Linked DNA regions of Astyanax mexicanus. The protein of the gene in region 3 purifies or fractionates together with the protein of the main gene of each other region. This does not show direct contact. Links are inferred from orthologs where the notes say so. Each region holds a gene or a part of one and is shown on either strand. Other genes may lie near its edges. The genes, in order: ago1, ago3b and trinucleotide repeat-containing gene 6A protein.

Region 1 (7,643 bases), on a different chromosome or scaffold from region 3:
GCTCTTGCAGTCATCTTTACAGGCCTTTACCACGCCTAGGGAGAGTAGCAACAGTGCTGAACTTTCTCCATTTGTAGACTGTCTGTATTACCGTGGACACATGAACATCAAGGCTTTTAGAGATATTTTGTAACCCTTTCCAGCTTCATGTAGGTCAACAATTCTTGAACGTAGGTCTTCTGAGAGCTCTTTTGTGCGAGGCATGCTTCAAATCAAGCAATGCCTCTTATACAGCAAACTCAAAACTGGTGTGTGTTTTTATAGGGCAGGGCAGCTTTAACCAACACATCCAATCTCATGGCATAGGTTTGATGCAGAAGTATAAATTGGCCTTAAGTGGTGAAAAACGGATATTAAGTGGTGAGCACCAGACACTAAGTGGTGAGCACCAAATACTAAATGGTGAGCACCACATACTAAGTGGTGAGTACCACATACTAAGTGGTAAGCGCCAGATACTAAGTGGTGAGCACCAGTACATGACTTCATAGACTACATAGATGTTGTACTGTGCACATGCTTTGCAATCCTCCATACTTTCATCATGGAAGGGGGGGTTATGAATATGAACTGTCTGGGAAGCTGCCTCATAGACATGCTTCTTTGCTTATTTTTGTGTATAGTGTCTATAGTCACATCTTGGCAAGTGGTAACTTAACTGCAGTTTAAGAAACCCATCAGGTAGATAGCTAGATTGCTAGATTTCTTAGCTAATGCAAGCTAGTTAAAAAGCAAACCTGTAGCAAACAGGAGATAATTGTAGCTAGCAAGCTATAGTTTAAACTAACAGACAACTTCAAAGACTTACAATAATCTGCCTTGCTGAGTTATTTTTTTACAGTCAGCTAGGTTAGGTAACATTAACTACTTTATTGTGTGGAATGTTTTAGCTAGGTAGCTAATAAAGATCTGTCAACTGTGGCATTATGCCAATTCTTAGGCCAGACACCTACTGACCACTGTAACCCATATGGCCCATGCCCACAGGTGCTTCCAATTGGAAGGAACCAGAAGCTAAAAACAAGTGTTAATTGCAACAGCATAATAAGTTATTTGGCAATGACAGAGAAGATTTGGCAATTTTTTCATGGGCACAACCCATATTCTCAGCTATGCTGCTCATCAGTCGAATATATGTTCCTTTTAAAGGTGACATAATTCAAAAGAGAAATTAACAGACTTTTTCATTGGTATTATGGTCAGGAAGCATTGTTACAAATTGAAATAATCTACCAAACAGAAATGTTCTTACTTTTTGTGCTATGTGCCCTAAAATTGAAAATTCGAATAGCTTGGTGATGCTGATCAGGCTGGTGGAATAGCTTGGTGATGCTGATCAGGCTGATGGAATAGCTTGATGATGCTGATCAGGCTGGTGGAATAGCTTGGTGATTCTGATCAGGCAGGTGGAATAGCTTGGAGATGCTGATCAGACTGGTGGAATAGCTTGGTGATGCTGATCAGGCTGGTGGAATAGCTTGATGATGCTGATTAGACTGGTGGAATAGCTTGGTGGTGCTGATCAGGCTGGTGGAACAGCTTGATGATGCTGATCAGACTGGTGGAATAGCTTGGTGAAGCTGATCAGGCTGTTGGAATAGCTTTGTGATGCTGATCATTTTGGTGAAATAGCTTGGTGATGCTGATGAGGCTGGTGGAATAGCTTGGTGAAGCTGATCAGGCTGTTGGAATAGCTTTGTGATGCTGATCATTGTGGTGAAATAGCTTGGTGATGCTGATGAGGCTGGTGGAATAGCTTGGTGATGCTAATCAGGCTGGTGGAATAGCTTGGTGATGCTGATCAGACTGGTGGAATAGCTTGGTGATGCTGATGAGGCTGGTGGAATAGCTTGGTGATGCTGATGAGGCTGGTGGAATAGCTTGGTGATGCTAATCAGGCTGGTGGAATAGCTTGGTGATGCTGATGAGGCTGGTGGAATAGCTTGGTGATGCTGATCAGGCTGGTGGAATAGCTTGGTGATGCTGATCAGACTGGTGGAATAGCTTGGTGATGCTGATCAGGCTGGTGGAATAGCTGGTCAGGCTGGTGGAATAGCTTGGTGATGCTGATCAGGCTGGTGGAATAGCTTGGTGATGCGGATCAGGCTGGTGGAATAGCTTGATGATGCTGATCAGGCTGGTGGAATAGCTTGGTGATGCTGATCAGGCTGGTGGAATAGCTTGGTGATGCTGATCAGACTGGTGGAATAGCTTGGTGATGCTGATCAGGCTGGTGGAATAGCTGGTCAGGCTGGTGGAATAGCTTGGTGATGCTGATCAGGCTGGTGGAATAGCTTGGTGATGCGGATCAGGCTGGTGGAATAGCTTGATGATGCTGATCAGGCTGGTGGAATAGCTTGGTGATGCTGATCAGGCTGGTGGAATAGCTTGGTGATGCTGATCAGGCTGGTGAAATAGCTGGTCAGGCTGGTGGAATAGCTGGTGATGCTGATCAGGCTGGTGGAATAGCTTGGTGATGCGGATCAGGCTGGTGGAATAGCTTGGTGATGCTGATGAGGCTGGTGGAATAGCTTGGTGATGCTAATCAGGCTGGTGGAATAGCTTGGTGATGCTGATCAGGCTGGTGGAATAGCTGGTCAGGCTGGTGGAATAGCTTGGTGATGCTGATCAGGCTGGTGGAATAGCTTGGTGAAGCTGATCAGGCTGGTGGAATAGCTTGGTGATGCTGATCAGGCTGGTGAGAAATTAAGTTTATAGGATTTACAGAAAGTGTGAAATAAATCTTTGAACAAAATTAGGCAGGTGCATAAATTTGGGCCTGAACAGAAAAAATACATCAATATTTAGACAATCCTCCTTTTGCAGAAGTAACAGCCTCTAAACACTTCCTATATCTTCCAATAAGAGTCTGGCTTCTGGCTGAAGGTATTTTGGATCATTCTTCTTTACAAATAATTTCCAGTTCAGTCAAGTTTGATGGTTTCTGATCATAAACAGCTCGCTTTAAATCACAGCACAGATTTTTAATAGTATTCATGTCTGGGGACTGAGATAATCACTCCAGAACATTGTACTTGATCCTCTGCATGAATGTTTTAGTAGATTTTGAGCAGTGTTTAGGGTCAGAATACGTCTACAGAAGTATTTTTTAAACCAAAAATATTTAATGGGCCATTCCACCGAATGTATGTCATTTCTGTTTGACTAAGGAGCTCAATCTCAACACTCTGTCCCGTTATCTAAAATAATTCTTAAATCTTATTTGTTTATTTTTAAAATACAAATTTTGGGAAGATCACTAAAATGTGCTCAGTGTCCTTATGCTATTTGCATAGCCGCCATTTAGCTATTTTTCTTGTTTTTGCTAATTCTATGATAACTCAAAACATAAAAAAGTAATAGGAATCAGTGCCATTAATAGGATTGATTTTTTTGTCATAAAAAATATCTATTTGAACATGCAGTCAACCATTTCTTTAATATATAATCTTTCTTGAGAGAGAATCAAAGGAATTAGTGGACTTGCTTTTAAACATGCTTTTTAAATGTCACATAAGTTTTGTAATCACCTTTAGCTTAGAAACCTTGTAAACAATTAAGTAAATCTGAAAAAAAAAAGTTTTACCAGTACATGTTTTAAATAGTTAAATACATGTGTTATTAGAGTTGAAAAAAATATTACAAATAAGCTTAATTTGAGTTACAACAAGCAAATGGCACCCTAATACCCTAATCTGAGTAAAGAATGTGATGCTTTAAGCAGTTTTGTTTTCAACCCAAACTTTTGCACTCCTGTGTAAATAGCTCATTTAGTATAATTCATGTATATCAAGAATACTAGTAAATCTTGGATATATAAATAGATTTTTCGAGGTTAACGAGTTCAACGCTCATTGCAGTGTGAAGCAGTGTGTGAACCTTTCCCCCCAACGGTCCCCAACCACCGCTCGCTAGAGGGCGGCCGCACAAAGCAGCTGCCCCGCACAGGAGGCGCTGTGAGCGGGAGGAGGAGGCGAAGAAGGCGGCCCTCTCTCCTCGGCTGTCCGTGGTGGGATTTTTTTTTTTGTTTGTTTTTTTTGGGGGGTCTGCTCCTACTCTGGAGAATCCTGCTTGAACGGTGAGCAGGACCCAGACACGCCGAGAGAGAGAGGGAGGGAGAGAGAGAGAAACGAAGGGAAAGGAGGGAAAGAAAAGAGGAGGGAGACCCACAACCAAAGCGGGGAGAGGAATCCGGCCAAGCGGGACTTGGAGCGCGGAGCCCCGGCTTGGCGCCGCAGCCAGCCCCGCTGGAAAGACCGGAGCGGAGCGGAGGAGCACGGCCAGAGCTGCTATTGTCTCCCCGGCTCTGCGGGGTCCAGGAGCTGGGGGGAGGACTCGGGGGGACTGGGGGTGGGCTTCCAGCTAGGGTAGAGGGTAGGGGCAAGGGGGGGGCAAAAGGGGCAGGGGGGTGGGTTGGTTTTCTTTATTTTTTTAGCCAGGAAAGAGGCGCTTTCCACGGCGGGGAAAGCAGGCTGTAGAGGCGAGGGCCGGCCGTGGTGGTGGTGGTGGAGCCCCGGGGCTTGCGTTGAGACGGCGCGCCTAAGTGGATGGGATGGAGCCGGGAGCATCTGGCGCTGGTGAGTGGATGCCTGGTTTGGCTTGGCTTTTGGTGGAAATGTTCATTTTTGATCAATTCTCATAATTATTGGGTTTGTTTAAGTATGTTTTCTTGGTAGAAGCTTATAGCTCCATCTAAGAAGCATGGGTGGTCCATCCAAGGTGGAGCAACCCCCCAAAATTTGTGCTTTCCTTCATTATTCTCAATAAATATGAATATTGTGCAAAATTGCATTTGGCTCATGCTTGATCAAGCATTGAAAAATTGGTTGAAAAATCTGGGGATGGGAATGGTAGGTGGAAGGGAATGTGTTGCAGGGGTCAGGAGGCAGTAGGGTCGTGGGAATCTTTAGTGAAGAGGCCTTGTCCACATGCAGATGGTCCAACCCCACCCCCCATCCAACATCCCACAATGATTATTGATTATGGTAAATTTATGGCTTTGCCCTTTCTGATCAGCCCCCAAGCCCAGATGTGTGGTTCTTGCTGCTTGACTCATAAATAATGTCAGCCTTTCTTAGTCTGTTCTAGTCCCAGTTTTACTAGTGCCTAACTATGTAAGCTTGTTGATGGATTGATTAATTCTTTTATAGTTAGAGGTCTCAAAAAAGAAGTTTCATCATCAATCATGATGTTTTTATTAGAGTGTGTTCTGCTTCACATAGTTCAACTGCAGAGTAGAATAGTGCACACCACTACAACAGAGTCGCAAGAATAAAATATTCTGAAGATCTTTTGGTAGACAAGTCTGTCTAATAGTTTTCTTGGTCTTAGATTGTCTTTCCTTTAATTCTTTTATAGCTAGAAGTCTCATAAAATAAGTGTTTTGGGCTTTTAATCGTAATTTTTTGGAGTGTGTTCTACTTCACAAAGTTCAATAACAGTCATATTTGTGCAAATATCAATATCAATGTAATATCAAGTAGAGTAGGGCACCACTACACCAAAGCCTGATCAGTTATTTTGAAAATCTTTTGGTAGACAAGTCTGTCTAATAGTTTACTTGATCTTAAAATGCTGTTTGTTTGATTCCTTTATAGCTAAAGGGCTCAAGAAAGTTTCTTAAGCTTGTTGTTGTTTTTATTGGAGTGTGTTCTGCTTCCCATGATTTAATAACAGCCATATTTGTGCAAATATCCCTACACAGTAGAGTAGGGCACACCACAACACCAGAGTCCGATTAATTACCCTCAAGATTTCTTGTTAGACAAGTTTGTCTGAAAGTTTTTTTTGGTCTGATTAAATATCCTTAAGATCTTTTGGTACAGAAGTCTGTCTAATAGTTTTCTTGGCCTTAATTTGTCTTTCGTTTAATTCTTTTATAGCTAGAAGTCTCACGAAAGAAGTTTGTTGGGTCTTTAATCATGTTATTGTTATTGCATGTGTTCTGCTTCACATGGTTCAATAACGGTTATATTTAAGCTAATATCACTGCACAGTAGAATAGTGCACCACTAAAACAGAGTCTGATCAGTTACCCTGAAGATCTTTTGGTAGACAAGACTAATAGTTTTCGTGGTCTTAAATGCCTTTCGTTTAATTCTTTTATAGCTATAAGTCTCACGAAAGAAGTTTCTTGGGTCTTTAATCATGTTGTTATTATTGTTGCATGTGTTCTGCTTCACATGGTTCAATAATGGTTATATTTGAGCAAATATCCCTGCACAGTAGAATAGTGCACCACTACACTAAAGCCTGATCAGTTATTTTGAAAATCTTTAGGTAGACAAGTCTGTCTAATAGTTTTCTTGATCTTAAAATGCCTTTTGTTTAATTCTTTTAAAGCTAGAGGTCTTAAAGACATTTCTTGGTCCTTCAATCCTACTGTTGTGGTTGTTGTTATCATTACTGTGTGTTCTGATTCACATAGTTCAATAAGGGTCATATTAATTCTATTAATATAGAGGTCTCAAGAAAGAAGTTTCTTAGGCCCTTAATCATGTTTATGTCATTATTGGAGTGTTTCCTGATTCACATAGTTCAATAACAGTCATATTTGTGCAAATATCACTGCACAGTAGAGTAGTGCCCCACTACACCAGAGTCTGACCAAATATCCTGATGATCTTTTGGTAGACAGGTCTGTCTAATATTTCTTGTTCTTAAATTGCCTTTCTTGGACTTTCTTGGAATATTTGTCTGCTAACTTAGTGGAGATGTCTGTATTGCCAGCTTGAGGGCATCATTGGGACAGAGGTAACTCTACACTGATAACCAGCTGTGTTGGGGTTGTGGGGTTTTGATGACAATTGTCTTTGGGCTCAGAGTTGACCTCTGTCAGAGTGTAAATTTCATGATGTAATTGGATGGGGTGCGGACCCTTCTCTGTCAGTGTGCTTTGATTCACTCCAAGAAATCTAATGTAGCAAGGCATTTACATGATACCCATGAGTTTAGTTTCAGTTGGAAAAGCCAAAAAGCCACAGTTGAAATAATACAAACTAGTAACTGTTGTACTTTATTAAAGAAAACATGCTTTGCTAAATGCAGGTAGGCAGGGCCAGGAATAACATTGTTATTAACCAAAATTTGATCACATAATTATCAGTGACCTATCATACAGGTACTGTTTTCTGTTATATTTGTTTTGTCATTGGGTAAAATTGGTGTAAAAAGTAATTGTACTTAGTGGTATTGGTAATTCAGTATTTTTTTTTATTTCTAAAGAAGCAATATTGGTACATGTTTTGGTGTGTGTTGTGTGTTGCAGTTGTTTTTTATTTAAAATGGAAAAAAAAGCTAATAGAAGTCATACTCTTGGTTATGTAATTATATGTCATAATGCACAACAACGCACAACAGCTAATGAAAGCCCTATTCAGATGGATTAATACTGAGTTTAATTTACCTCAGATGTCATTGGTATTGGTAATAACATCACAGTCAAGTTGACTTCATTCCAGTTAAATTTCGTACTTAAAAAAAAAAAAAAAAAGCTAAAGACTTCACAGTTTCAACAACTGACTTTTACAGCAATTTACTTCTGGTTTATGTCAAATTCAACCAAAATATGTCACACTTTATGTCTTAGCTATCATGCAGTAAGATAGTTTGATGTAGTATGCAGTATACACATGCACACAGCT
Region 2 (7,563 bases), on a different chromosome or scaffold from region 3:
CCTCAGTGTAGCTCTGTCGTGCAGCAGTTAGGCAGCATTAGTTAGTTCCAGCATTAGTGGAAATCTGTAAATCTCTTAAATTAACTCCCAAATTAACAGTTTTTAGGAGAGAAATCTGTGTAGATTTACATCCAGCACTCGTTTGACTTGTCTGACTCGTATGAAAATGTTTTTTTTTTTAAGAATTACAGTTTCTTTTACTTTACATATCATAGCTTTACCGGTCTCCCCACCCAGCGGCAAGACCTGCTGAATTAGAAGGGAAATGTGGAGACACCCCTGTTTCTAAGAAATGCTGCTTAAAATGCTCCTTATAATCTGGTGCATCTTGTGTATGAAAATAGATATTTATTGATAGTGTGCCTTATAATCTGGTGCACCTTATAGTGCAAAAAATACAATACTAAAAATGTGTTAGTGAAATTGTGTTACAAGAAATATATTAATTATATAAAAACTCATATGCAGTTAATTGCATTCCACCAACCTGTAATTCTCCACTACACCGAGGTCCGCCTTCAAAGCTGGCAGGAACAGCTTCAGCACTTCAGGATTGGCCAATATTTCAGGAGGAGTTCCTCCAATCGAGGTCATCCACTGAAGGAATTCTTCATCAGACAGTTGGCTTCTCCGTGGGGCTTGTAATCTGGTTTCAGACTGACAGAGAGGATTAATTGTTTTAGCTAAAAAGTTATTGTAAATGTTTCTTTACACATTTACATGTTTTAATTAAAAAACATGTAATGATTTACCAGCAGATAAGTCATACCACTTTACAATAACTTATATTATGCCACTGTTCTCTTTGAAATCACTACTGCAGTGAACAAACTGTACTTACATAAGGCGCAGAAGCTCCAGAGAGAAACACATGGACTGGTTCAAGATTGTGAACTTTTTTCACATACTCGGCAAAGGCATAGCTGGTCATAGCACCAAAACTGGGGAAAAGGAACCACAATGAGATGAGAAACCACAAAGTGCCTGAAGTAAAATACATGAAATTTAATGCGTTTTTAAAAAACTTTTTTTAAATCATTGATGAAATCTGTTGAAAACATTATAAACAGTGTTGTTGCATTTTGCCAAATAATGCAAACAACACAAAGTTTCCCAAACAAATTATGAAAGAAAAATATTTCCTATAGGAAATTTGGTTTCCATTTTTGCTAGCACCAAAATGTTGTTTTTGATCCCAGAGAACAAAAAACTTTACATTCATTTGTGAAGTAGATGTGAGATATAACTTTTTTAGCACCAACCTGTGTCCAAAGAGAGCAAATGGTTTCTCCTTGAGTTCTGGCAAAAGCACACTGATGACCTCATCGAGGATCTGCTGCATGTGCTGGAAGAATGGTTCTTTAGCTCGGCTCTCCCTGCCGGGCAGTCTGACTGAATACACTGCATATCACAAAGAACAAAAAGAGGAGCAATAACACAAGCAGCAAAAAGCACCAACTGTCAGAGCGCAGACACATAATGTATCAACATACTTTAATATCCATTTAATTTGCATACATTAAACGCTTACAGCACCATCTCAGAAAAAGTTTTGAGAATGTGGAAAAGTGCATAAGAAAAAGACAAATCTTTAAATACTCTAAGATCTTATATAAACAACAGCCTATTTGCATAAGTGACAGAGCCCTTAAGCAGATCATTCTGAAAGGGGCTGAATCTGGCATAGAACTGGAATAGAGCTGGTGAGGCTCTTTATGTGAGAGTGATTTAAATAAAGATGGTTTAAATGTTGTTTTTCTATCATCAATCTTAAAAATATGTAAAGTAACAAAAAAAATCAATGTTTACTTATAATGTTCTTCTTAAGTAATAAGAATGGTGGTGTACAAACCAGTGCCAAAGAAACATTTTTTTTTGTTTTATAGCTATAAAACAGAAGCAGGAACTGTGATCATTTTTCTTATTTTTCTTACTTATGAAATGTAAAACAAATTTCACAGTTCACAGATTGAAATGCTGGGAACAGTGGATGAGGGGCCTTCAAACACCAGAAAATGCTATAAAAGCATCTAATATCTGATAAAACATCCTGATCATTTTATCATTTAATGTTGAAAATATAATACTTAATGGTCCTTCAAATCATTTAAGCATTGTAGAAATAAATCCACATGATCTCACTTTGATTTTGTTGCCAATATATATATATAAATACAGCACAATAATACACAGTAAAGGTCAGTGTAGCGGAGAAGTACCTTCAACAGAGGAGTTGAGGAGTCTCCCCCAGCGTGCGTAGTGGATGGAGCCTCCACCTGCCCAGGGGAAGCAGATCAGTCTGACCACAGCGTCCGGCCTCCTGCTGAAGCAGCTAATGACTTTATCCATCCCAGCTACAATTAAACAGAGTTAGAGCTACTGGTGATTAAAAAATAACAATACCATCCTTCTGAACTAGGAACCAGTCTACAGCTGAGTAAGGTTATTTACATGAGACTCCAAGTCCAAGTACAAAATAGCAATAAATAACCTAGATAACAGTCTAGGTTTATAAGCTCCACTGTTTCATAACTGTTTGTTTAAATATACCACTGATAAATATGTCTACTGACACTTCAGAATAAAGAGCAAACTATTCACCTGCCATTTAAAGACATTACACTGTAGTACATTACACTGTAGCCCGTCCAATCACTGTAACGTTCCCTGGAACAGATCCCTGAGGTGCCTTCAACACCACCCAGTCTTTACTTCAGTTCATATCAGTTTCAACCCTGGAACACAAACAAAATAAACGATTTAACTTTTTATCTCTAAATAATGAGGGTGTATACCGCTGTTCTGCTTAAACAGAACCAGGAGCATTTAAACTCTAAACTCTAAACGCAGCTGAACGTTTCATACACACACATGTTGAAGGTGCGCTTCTTCAGTCTTTACTTCAGTTCATATCAGTTTCAACCCTGGAACACAAACAAAATAAACGATTTAACTTTTTATCTCTAAATAATGAGGGTGTATACCGCTGTTCTGCTTAAACAGAACCAGGAGCATTTAAACTCTAAACTCTAAACGCAGCTGAACGTTTCATACACACACATGTTGAAGGTGCGCTTCTTCAGTTTCTTCTGTGGTGAGCTCAGTTAAATCCAGAGCGCAATGCTGCCATCTTCAGACCACTGTGCTAAAACAGCCACCAGACTTTTGAGACTTTTACAGATTTTACCTGGAGTGTTTTCCTTTCTTCTATATTTAATTAATCAATTAATCAATCACATACATGTATTTTCACTCTGAGGTACACTGAGGTACATTTTCAATGCAGCTGAGCATTTACAATAGAAAAATTTAAATATAATATGAAACCACCGCATACAAACACAACATGGAATAAAATAAGCAAGGTAAAACATTGAAAAAATAAGCATAACTAAGGTTAGATAGCAAAATAATCATTTAATTTAATAATAATAATCAAAATAAATAATATATATATATTTTTAAATAAGAAAAGAAAACATTTTAACATTAGACAAGAAAACTAAAATAAAGCCAAAACTAACCATTAAATTAACATAAAAAAACAATATGGCATAATGTTTCCCACAGGAATCAAACCATATTTTGGTTATTGCACTATTCCATACCATACCTTATTTTATATTATTTTTATTATTATATTTTTTTTATTTGTATTATAATATAATGTTGCAAGGCATATCTATATCCAAAACAATGAGGCGTACAAGTGGGTCATAAATAAAAATCTATATACGCGCAATAATACGTAAAGAAGTATATTTGGTTGTTTATATTCTTATTTTATTCTTACAATCTTGTTGTAAGCTTACTAAAACGTGTTTTCTTCTAATGAGCTTGTTATCAATTATCAACCAAAAAAAACAACAAAACTTTATTTTCTCTCCAAAAATATATTTCATGCCTTTTGAGGGTTAAGACAATAATAATATTAATAATAATAAGAAGAATATGTTTTAATCTATAATGAAAAAATGAATAAATTTGAAGAAAAAAATCGTTATTATAGGAAAGCTGGGTAGTGGAGGTGGTTATAAAATAAAATTGCAGCGAATTGAGCTTCAATGTTTTTCTGTTGTGACTAAAACAGAATTTCAGAAACTTAATTATATTATTATTTATGTTCTTTAATGAATTAAGTCTCAGACGTGGATCAGAAATGAATGACATGGTTGCAGGATGTGACGGCGCTTCCTGCCGTTGGTATTTCCTGTGGTCCCCCTCCCTCAGCCCGGCGGTGGAGAGAGAGATGGTGAACCGGTTACAGGAGCGGAGAGAGTCGGAGAGACGAACCGGTGAACCAGCGAGAAAAACAGCCCGGAGCTGAACCTCTGCTGCGGTGCTGAGTGTTTTATTATAGAAGGACGAATTTTAACTGGTTTTAGACTGTAATAAACTGTGGCTGAGTGGAGGTTGGAGGTTTTAGTGAGTTTTATCGAGTGTCAGACAGAAGCTGCTGCTCTGGTTCGAGTTGAGAAGAAGGGAAAAGCTGTTTCTCGCTCTCGGGAGTTTTTACGAGGAGTTGGTTCGGTTGTCAGCTGGGAGTAATTAACGCTACTGAGTCCCGGTGAACGGAGGGAGCTACTGAAGGAGGCGAAGGACACGGCGGGGAGGCTGTCTTTAACCTAACTAACGATAAACACCGAGAACCGAATGAAGCTAAGGCCGAGCTGACCCTCAGGGACGGGACGGTCTCATCAGCCGCAGCGGAGACCGGCGACCGCGGCCGGGGCGAGGAGGACAGAGAGGTAGCCGTTAGCCGAGCTCCAGCAGCTCCAGCGGCCCCACAGCGGCTCCGCGGAGACCCTACAGCACCACTACTACCACCACCCGTAAGCCGGGCACCAGCTCTGGAAAGCCGGCTGACTGGAATCCGGGCAGAGACCTCATGAATGGAAATCGGTACTACAGGTAGGTTTACGAGCTTCTCCCGGAGCGTGACCCCAGCTGGGGACCCGGCTGGGTGGGGTTAACCAGCAGGTGAAATAACTGGTTAACTAACTAGTCAGGTCAGATAGTTACAGGAGGGTCTTCTGAGGGGACTGTGGGGCTCGTTCAGGGGTCCGTATGCACTGTGTCTCGACCCCTCAGTGTTGTGTCGATTTTAGCAACCTTGTCAAACTATGCTACCCTAGTGTATATTTAAAGGTAAAATACGAAATATTAGAACATGCTCGCAGTAAACGTGTCGGTATGATATTTGAATAGCCTACTCGGTGTATTAAGGTAAAGTTAAGGCAATATAAGTGATCAGAAACAGTTTTATACATTTTTTTTTAATCATTTTTATCTATATTTTTATCATACATTTTTACACGGTTGTAACACTCGAGCTAACGATGACAGTAAGTCCAGATTGTACACTGCACCTGAGATTTTTTTAAATATCAGGAAAAACACAGGAAAACAGTTAAATCGAGAGTTTAGCGCATGCACAGAACCGCTTAGTAGCACAAATCGACGGGTAGCACAACTCGACAGTACACCCCCCGGCTCCCTGTAACTTAAGTAACGCTAACTTAACTAACCCAGCTAACAGTTGTTTTAAGCCGTTTAGCAGCTGTTTAAGTTGTTTAGTTGTAGATTAGAAGTCGTTATTCTGGAGGTTTATGCAGGCTCGGCTGTCTGGTGGTCGATTGGAGGCGGTTTGAGGGTTTTTACCCACTCGCGGTTTCCACGTCACGGCGCTGCGACTCGCCTGTCACGCACAGGTGGCGTGGAGATCAGGTGCTGCTGCGTGAGCTGCTTGTGTGTGAGTGAGAGAGATATTGTGTGTATTTATTACTTTGTGAGGACCAGACGCCCCATAACTAACAGGAACGCACAGGAATCCTAAAGTCGTGGGGGACACCTGTAGTAATGCAGTACAACACAGCATTACAGTAAGCCTTCCCCAAAAACGATAGTAATACAAACCTATGTATCTGTGTGTGTAAAAGTGAGAGAGAGAGAAATTAAAAGAAAGAGAGAGAGATTTTGTGTATTTATCACTTTCTGAATGCCAATTGCCCAATAACTGCCCCACACGGGAATTCTAACGTCGTGGGGACATATGTAGTAAAACAATACAGCAGCATTACAATAAGCCTTCCCCACAAAGATAGTAATACAAACTCGCGAGAGTGTGTGTGGTCACAGAGGGGAGAGTGGGGGAGGCCTCCCGTTGTCATGGTGACTGAGTTACTGGTTGCTGTGTCACTGGTGACTGCTTTCCCACAACTGGTTTAACTGGAAAACATTAGAAATCAGACCCAAACTGATATACCAGTAAAGAATTACCTGTGACCAGTTGCTCACAGATGATCAGATTAGTAGTGTGTGGTTCTAGGTTTCTGTAAGTGTCTAGTCTGCACGTGGTTTACAGGTCAGCAGTGCCAGAAGATCAGTCAGTTCCCTGCTGTTAAAATCAGATGTATGGTTTTGCTAATTTCTTGTCTTAATATTTGAAGAGTTCATTTGCAAAAATGGATAAAGCTATGTTTAAAGGATAGCATCTATCTATTTGTTTGTGCAAATTAACTCTTAATTTCTTTAATGTGATCTATATCTTTTCATCACTGCTTGTAATGCTAACCATACACTAGACGACTTCAAAAACACTCTGAAAACACTTTTAATAGACTAAAGTCTGACACCCTCTCACGTCTAAAGACAAGTTACAGACTTTTTAGTCACAGATGGCAAAGACTGGGGATCTTGAAGGGTCACTATTTGCAAGACTGCAACTAGATTCTTTCAGAGTTTATTTTATTATGTTTTACTACTATTTTTATTAATATTATTATTATAAGTAGGAAATGTGTTAAAGAGACACTCTTGCTCACTACACAGCTCCACCAGTTTCTCCTACTTTTGTATACTCTAGGAGAACTGTGGTTTCCGAGCCATCACTGGAGTCTCATCCATTTCATGTTCCGCAAACCTCCCTACGCTTGCCTTGTGGCTTTCCGTAGCCCTCCTATTGGTTGTTGACATTGACATTGTTCACTTATGATAATATTAAACACGGTTGATTTTAGCTCAGTTAAACCACAACCCATATGGCCACCTCATTGTATGACCGTCATAATGTCATAAATGTATTGTACAATATATGGATGAATATGACCTGGATGGTAATTTTTCTGTCCCTAATTTTGTTTATTATGCATTTTTTAGCAAGGAGAGCCCATTAATGTGAATGAGCTGATTTGCTAACTCTTTAAACTCTGTTTATCAAACTTGTCAGAGTAAGAATGCTGATGCAGGATCAGCAAAAGTTTACTGAATTCTATTAGACAGTTGATGAGAGGTGATCTCACATCAGTTCTTTTACTCAGAGATGGTTGATAAATGAGGCCCAGTTTTATTAATTCAATTATGTTTTATTTATATAGGACATTAATTAGTTAAAGTTAGGAAATTATTTATATTCCATATCCATTGGCTCAATATTCTTAATACGTGATTGCTTTACTGTTCTTCAATCAATGCATCAGTGGCATAAAATGGTCTTAAAATTATACTGTTCTTTTTTAACACAGTTCATCTCAAAAATAGTTCTTCTGACAGGCCTGTCTCATC
Region 3 (7,590 bases):
GCAATATTGAATGTTACAGATGAGCCTTGTATTTGTTCAATACCTTGCCGAATGGTGTGAAGCTCCAAAACTTCAGGAGTTCCTTCAAGTTGTAATGTGTCTACAGCTTGTGACAAGATCAATGTTCGTTCTGAACCATCATCAAGAAGAGCATATGCATGGCAAGACTGACCTTTGTAACTCAGAATGACCTTTACCATCTTCAGAAGCACTTTGGGGGAATAGCTTGATGGGTTCAGGTAGAGTACCTTGGAGGACGAATGCTGAGGGACTAAATCATCCGTTTTCCTGTTTGCTTCATGAAGAACACCAAGGTGTGGACCCTGACATTTTGGGCAGGGTTTCTTAAGGTTACATTCCTCAGCTTGATGGTGTTTTGCACATCGCCAACATAATCCGTTGCTTCTAATCCATTCCTTCAAATTACTTGGGCTTAGTAGTCCAACTTGGGAACAGTATGTCAAGCTATGCTCCTGACTTTTACAGTATGGGCAGGATTGAGATCTTGCATGCACAGATAATAGAGTTGGGCCTGGGGCTGAGACTGTAAATAACTAGATGGGGAGGCAGGATAAGGCTGAGGAGGCTGGGAGCTGGACTGGGAGCTAGACTGAGTGATATGAGGAGGAAAAACACCAGACTGAGAGGAAACCTGAGGCTGTACAGAACTAGATGGAAAGGCAGGATAAGGTTGAAGGGGCTGAGGCCTAGGCTGGGGATTATGAGTAGGCACAACACTAGACTGGGGTGCAATCAAAGGCTGAGGCTGTAAAGAACTAGATTGGGAGGCAGGATGGGGTAAAGCTAATCTAGATGGGGCTGAACATGAACTTCTAGCTCTGTTCTCTTCAGGTATAGAACATTGAAATTCTACACAACTGTGAGGTCTTTGTACAGGTTGGGAGTAATCAACATCAAAGTCATCATCAGAGCTAATGCAATCTTCAGAAACATTTACTGATTCAGAGTCCCTGTTACAAATATGCAGGGATCCCATACGATCAAGTAGTTTTATTGTCTCTTTCAGGCTGCATACCTAGTATGTAGTTCCTTGAGGTCAGATTGTTGTTGTGCTGAGGCAGGATTCGGGATCCCTCTACCTCCAGGTTTAAGATAGGTAGCTAAAGGCCTTGGATTAGTGGTGCAGGGTTCCTGTGGCTTTCCAAAGCCCACTGACTCGACGTGATATTGCTGAAGATGGGTTGGAGGCCTTCTCTGCCGTGTGGATCGTCTGTTCTCTTGATCTGTATCCATCATAACTGCCAATCCCGGGTTTCGGCACCATGTAAAGTTTAGTTGGATTGCATTTAGTGGAAGGGTGGCTGGCGTGATGGTGTGTCCATTAAAACACAGGAGGATGAACAGACTTCAACTGATGCAGTTTATTCTCAGAGTCACAGCATATTTCACAATGAGGCAGAGCAGGTGCATGAATGGACAGTTAATGCATGGCTGAGGAAAGGATGGATGGAGGAAGGAAGATGATGTAGGGAGAATGGAGAGATTATACAGGATGGTTGTATCTACAGGATGGATACACAGGATGGATGGTTTTATCTACAAATAAACAAAATACAAGGATCAGTAAAACAATACAAATAGTGCAACAAAAGGAACAACAAACCAAGTGAGCAAACAATAAACCCAATCACAATCAAATTGGACAAGTTAACATAAATGAATTAAGTAATAAATCAGAAAACTTACACAAACACACATCCATTGGAAGCTCAGTCCACAATCCAAAAGAGGTTCAAATTCTCAGACCATGCCAAACAAAGAAATAAAAAAATGGCCGACAGTGCCATTTTAACCTCTAAGCCCCGCCTTATCCTGCTGCAAAGAATTATGGTCTATGTAGTTTACCTGCTCCCAGGGAATTTCCAACACTTGGGGGTTTGTGTCTAAGCTGTATTTGTCTATAGCAAAATGAATGGGCTTTTCAAAACTCGCCTCTATCACATTCTGTGGTAAATAAATATGTTCTTGTTCATTTTATTCTGCTACTCTTATGTGCTACAGTATGAGCTTTAATCACACAGGAATAAAATGTTGTAGGCCAAATTGCTGGGACTAATCTGCGATAGGTTCAATGGCTAAGGCTGTATATGTAGGCTACTGTAGGCTGTATAGTTTAGGCTAAATGACTATATTAAATGGGTTTCCAATAAGGAAATATTTGACAGTAATTAGCTTGAATTGTATGGTGTATTTGTGTGTGCGTGTGTTTGTGCAGTGTCCAATGAGGCAGAATGACTGTCTTTAAAAGGCCCCCAGAGTGGAGGCTGCAGGTCAGTTTTTGCCCGTGTGCTGGTGCTTTGTGTACAAAGTGAAAGCGTAGGCACATTCCTGCGGGCAGACCGGACAGTGTTTACATTGTTCCTGATTTGTTTAGGGTTTTCTCAGTCCACAGACGGCTAAACTCTTTCTATTTGGCCAGCATTCATAGCAGACTGCTGCACAGAGCTAAACACATTTACGGATGTAAGCAAACAGATACAGCATCACAGGCAGCTGGGAGCAGAAATACCTGAGGGAACTTTTGTTTAAAGAAGAGGGTATCTATACACAGCTTCTGAAATCATTTTAAAAGTGAATTTTGTCTAAAATGCTTCACACAGCAGTCAGAGTATGAATGCACATTTTGTTTCAGAGCTGCCATTTATTTACTCTGTTGAATTTATCTATATGCTGTTTGAAACATTCATACTGCTTTTGTAATTTGCTGAAATGTAGCTTGATCACTATAAATAAAAAAAACAAACAGCTTGCAAAGAGATGGACTGAGATAAATAAATACATGGATTCCTTTAGCTTTGATTAAATTACAGTATGCATACTGTACTCTATCGCATTTTTTCCACACACCTCTGCAATGTTACAACAATAGTTTTCCCCAAGATCTGGTATTGATGATGGGAGATTTTGACCACTGTGCAAAGTCTTCTCCGGCACATCCCAAAAATTCTCAATAAGGTTCAGGTCTGGATTCTGTGACATGCACTATGATGGGTGCATTACTTTAGCCACCTCTTTCCGAACCCTGATGCACCCATCACTCTAGAACAGGGTAAATCATGATTCCTCAAAGCACATGTTCTCCTTCCATCGCTCCAGATTCCAATCTTTATGCTCCTTAGCAAATTGAAGTTGTTTTTGTCGATTAGTCTCACTGGTAAGTGGTTATCTTAAAGCTACACAGCTGATTAGCCCCAATCCCTTGAATTCCCTTCACATTGTGCTTGTGAAAATGCTCTTACCTTCACTTTTAAACATATCTCTGGTATTGTTTTTGTACCACAAAGTTAAAGTGATCGCCAATTACCATAATTTAATATTTTCGGATAATTTGACTCTTCTGAAACAGACAAACATATTTTCAAGGACACAAAATGAGTTTAACAAATGAAAAGCTTCTCATTGCATTAGTTAGAATTCAATAACTTGTCAGCTGAAACATAATCACCCGTGCAGTAAATATCCAATTTGAAGATCTTTGAGTTATCCAAAAAGTTCTACTTGTTCCTCTGTATGAGTGCTTTAATAGACTTTGAGCAGTGTTTAGGGTCGTTGTCAAGTTGAAGTATCCAGCCCCAGCACAGCTTCAGCTTCGTTCCTGATCTGTGAACATTGTTCTTAATAATCTGCTGATATTGACTGGAATAATGCACCCCTCAACTTTAACAAGATTCCCAGTACCTGCACTGATCACACTGCCCCACAGAATGAAATCTCTGGAGCTGGTCTGTGGATTGACTATGACTATTCTCAACATCCTTCTGCTTATCTGAGATGTTTCTTGGTCTGCCACTTCAGGCCTTAACTAGAACTGTGCGTGTGGTCTTCCATTTCCTCACTATGTTCCTCACAGGGGTAACTGACAGCTGAAATCTCTGACAGAGCTTTTTGTATGCTTCCCCTAAACCATGATGTTGAACAATCTTTGTTTTCAGGTCATTTAAGAGTTGTTTTGAGGCTCCCATTTTTCCACTTTTCAGAGAAGATGCAAAAAGGAAAAAAACTTGCAATTGGCCAAGTGTTTCAATTATTAGAGATAAAGCTATTCAAATCACTAAAACAACAAGGGTGCCCAAATGTATGCACCTGCCTTATTTTGTTTAAATAATTATTGTAATTTTTTTTTGTAAATCCTATAAACTTAAATATCACTGTGTTTGTCTCCTATATGATGAATTTAACTGAAATTGCTGATCTGAACACCAATGATTTAAAAATGAAAATCATCAAAATGAAGGTGCACAAACTTTTTCATACCGCTGTAGATAGATCACTAGTGTTAAGTTGTTTGTTTTTTTAGTTGTATAGCTGTTATTATTGAGCTGAACTGGATTTTGTTTGTTTATGTTCCTGATATGCGCCTGCTGCTCTGCGCCGTGGCGCCATTTCGTAGCGGAAGTGGCAGCCGCGCGCGCCGCTGAGCTCTTCCTGCGGGAGCGCGCAGTGAGAGAGAAAATGTCCGCGCGGGCGGAGCGGTGATCCTGCAGGAGAGCTAAGCGCGAGCTCGGGTTTAAAGATCAATAATACACTCATCGCTGATCCACTGAAGGCCTTTCACCACACTTTACTCATCGCACTTTAATCTACACAGGTGAGGCTGAACGCGCTTTTCGCTGTTTGGCGCAGTTTGCTGTAATGTAGCGCGCGGCGGAGTCGAAGGGCTCGAGTGGAGCTGCGCGTGGTGGCGTCTGTTGTTTACAGGGACCGTTAAAACCGTGATAAACATAAACAGCGCGGTGCATTTGGGTAATGTGTGTTTTGCGGGCGGCGTGTTGCAGAAACGTCTTAGTCAAGCGGCTTCAAAAGCCAGAACTACGACGCCGAAGTTGGACCTCCTATTAGAGTTGTTCAGTTCCACCTTAAATGGTGCGGCACTGATACACTATATAGTCTGAAGTGCCCGTATGAAGCTAGCGAGCTGCTTTTCCGTTTAAGGTGGACCGGAAAAATTATAAAAGCGAAGCCCAGCTGTAACCTCTAACGCTGTTGGATATTAAAAAGCTAATTGATTATTCGTTGGATAATGCTCTTACATTTGAGTTTAAATATTCGTCCAACTACATGCTTATGTTACAGAACAAAATGGCGTAAGATTTGAGTTATAAATAATAGACCTAACGTTAACCTTTAGCTAGCTAGCGTTAGCCAGTTATGTTTTTGAGTTTCTGCCTCGTTACAAATCTAAGCTAGCTACACAATAGTTTATAAGTGATACAAATAAGTCTTTAGCTAGTTATTTAATAATGACTCTAAATGCGAAGTGGTTATCTTGTTTGCTAAGGCTGTATTTTGTGGTCTTAAATTTAATACTGACTAACTAGTTAACCTTGCTAACTGATTAGCTTACTTTTGTAAATATGTTTATTATATAACTTGCTTTTAAGAACGCGAAGTGTGTTAAAAGATTCTTATGTTTATACCGCTAACCTAGCTTAGCGATGTTAAATCTATAAAATTATATATGGCTCCAAGCTAGTTAACGAGCTATAAACAAACAGAGCAGGTCATTGTTTAATAGCTAGCTTAGCGGACTAACCTAACCTAGGTCTCAGTTTTCAACAGATCAGATCAGAGTTTCGCAGACCCCGAAAGCCATTTTATTTGGTTAATGCAGGTTAGCTAGCGTTACGTAGCTGACAGCACAGATATCTACATAAGCATGCCGATAAATAAATAGTTAACTAAGTATAAACGAATAAATGTGATACTGAGGCAAATAGTATGTGGGCTTATTAGGTTTAGTCGTATGTTAAATAGCTACGTAGTTAGCTTAGCAGCTAGGCTAGCTGATATTAGCTTCTGAGCTAAAGCCCTTAGTGTTTTTCCTCATGTTTTAGTTTAGCTATTTTGTGTTGGTTGTAGAGTTAAGCGTACTATCTTGTATAATGTAAGCTTCATGTAGGAGAGTGAGTATGTGTAATTATAATTCGGTGTTGTTTAGCTAGGCGAGCTAAAAAAAAACGTTTAAATAAATGCTTGTCCACTGCAGAGCTAACAGTAAGGGTTCCAGCATTCAAACTGTCATCCCACAATATTATACTTTTTTATTTTTTTTGCGAGAACAGGAGTAAAATCAGTTATTTCGTGATGGAAGCCGGGTGTTGTGTAGTTGTGTGCGACTGTAAGCGGTTAGCAGGTTTAACGTGGTTTGTCTGTGGTGGGGGAGGTGTAGCTGTAGATTTTCTCTCCTACTCCTGGTTATGAAATCGCGTTGAACCACCTTAGGGGTTTAATTTGGTTCATTTTATGATTTTACAAAAATCAATGTGGTATTTCCCATGTAGACACTGTCTAAACACTTCACTTACTGATGTCCATGTCTGCCATTGATTAACTTTGGTGCCTGTTAGTGCTGTCCAATCCTAGACAATCACCACCAAAGAACAATATAATAAGGTTGGCAGTATGTATTTTTTACAATACACTTGTTATTGACATGCAGTAGTAGGATTTCATTTCTGCTATCAAGAACGTGAACTATATATAGTACAGTGGTTATTATAAAACATATATAAGATGTGACCTGTAAGTTTTTGTGTGTTTCTAATTGCATACTAAAAAGTACTTTTGAAGTGTGCATTGTGGTGCATTCCCTTTTCAGAGTGGATGAATCTGGTGATTTGGATTGGTTAGGAGTCTGTTGCCCTCCTTTATTTCACCAGCTTGCTTTAGTTCTAATCTATATAAATTTTCTCTAATGATGAGCTCTTGTATTATCCTTATTAGCAGCACTGCATTTGCTTAAGTTAAGACTTGTAGCCAGAAAAATGTCCCGGGACCTAACAGACACACTGTTTTTAAAATAAATGCATTTGGCATTGCCAAAATGGTAGCAAAAGCAGATTGATGCAATTTATTATATTTTGCTATCTCCCCTGCTTAGACATTTTAAAAATAAAATAAAGTAAACAATGTAAAATCTTCAGGACTGCTGCTTTAAACAATGCTTATTACACTGTGCAATACAATATTTGGTTGTACAGTAATAGATCCACAATATTGTGAAAAAAGGTTCAGCAACAATGTTCAGTATAATTAATATGATACACATTTTAAGTAAACTAGCATCACATCTGCTTCAGTATGGGACATAATCAATAATGTGTAATGATACTAAATGTCACCAGTGTTTATATATTTAATCATGGCATGCTTTTCAGATTAAGCAAAGTTAATATAATCTGCTGTCATAATTTTTGTTTTTCTGAGACTTCTAGTGCATTCTCTTTTTAGTAGAATACTGAGATGTACTGTTTAATATATTTTATATATTATGTAAGATTTATGCTTCACAGCAGGTTTAACCGTACAGGATTAATTTCAGTAAAATTAAATTAGGTCGCTGTAGAATAGTCAGAACAGGTTCTGCAGCATTTCTTCTTGTCATAACAAAGTTCTACACTTTCCATCTAACAACTTGTTTCCTCTGTTTGTCAGACAATCTTTGGTTTTCTGATAAGTTACAATAAAAGCCCAAAATAGATCCCTCGGTTTAAAATATGAAAACATATTAAAGCTAAATGTGTGGTAAAAAAAAATTTCTGGCCTTATCCCCTTCATTTGTTGATTTGG

Evidence for each region.
Region 1: the proteins of trinucleotide repeat-containing gene 6A protein (region 3) and ago1 purify together in Homo sapiens (affinity purification with mass spectrometry; 10 studies listed by BioGRID and IntAct, with this or other methods). This does not show direct contact. The link is inferred for Astyanax mexicanus from reciprocal best matches to the Homo sapiens genes TNRC6A and AGO1.
Region 2: the proteins of trinucleotide repeat-containing gene 6A protein (region 3) and ago3b purify together in Homo sapiens (affinity purification with mass spectrometry; 7 studies listed by BioGRID and IntAct, with this or other methods). This does not show direct contact. The link is inferred for Astyanax mexicanus from reciprocal best matches to the Homo sapiens genes TNRC6A and AGO3.

The regions. Positions count from the first base shown.
Region 1 is NC_064408.1:119,808,441-119,816,083, forward strand, and holds the start of ago1 (protein argonaute-1), read left to right. Parts: upstream 1-4,426; 5' UTR 4,427-4,552; coding exon 4,553-4,577; intron 4,578-7,643.
Region 2 is NC_064410.1:30,428,575-30,436,137, forward strand, and holds the start of ago3b (protein argonaute-3), read left to right. Parts: upstream 1-4,219; 5' UTR 4,220-4,892; coding exon 4,893-4,911; intron 4,912-7,563. Other genes in the region: olah (S-acyl fatty acid synthase thioesterase, medium chain), read right to left, coding at 488-657, 842-941, 1,263-1,401, 2,220-2,354, 2,602-2,608.
Region 3 is NC_064426.1:13,559,476-13,567,065, forward strand, and holds the start of trinucleotide repeat-containing gene 6A protein, read left to right. Parts: upstream 1-4,447; 5' UTR 4,448-4,609; intron 4,610-7,590.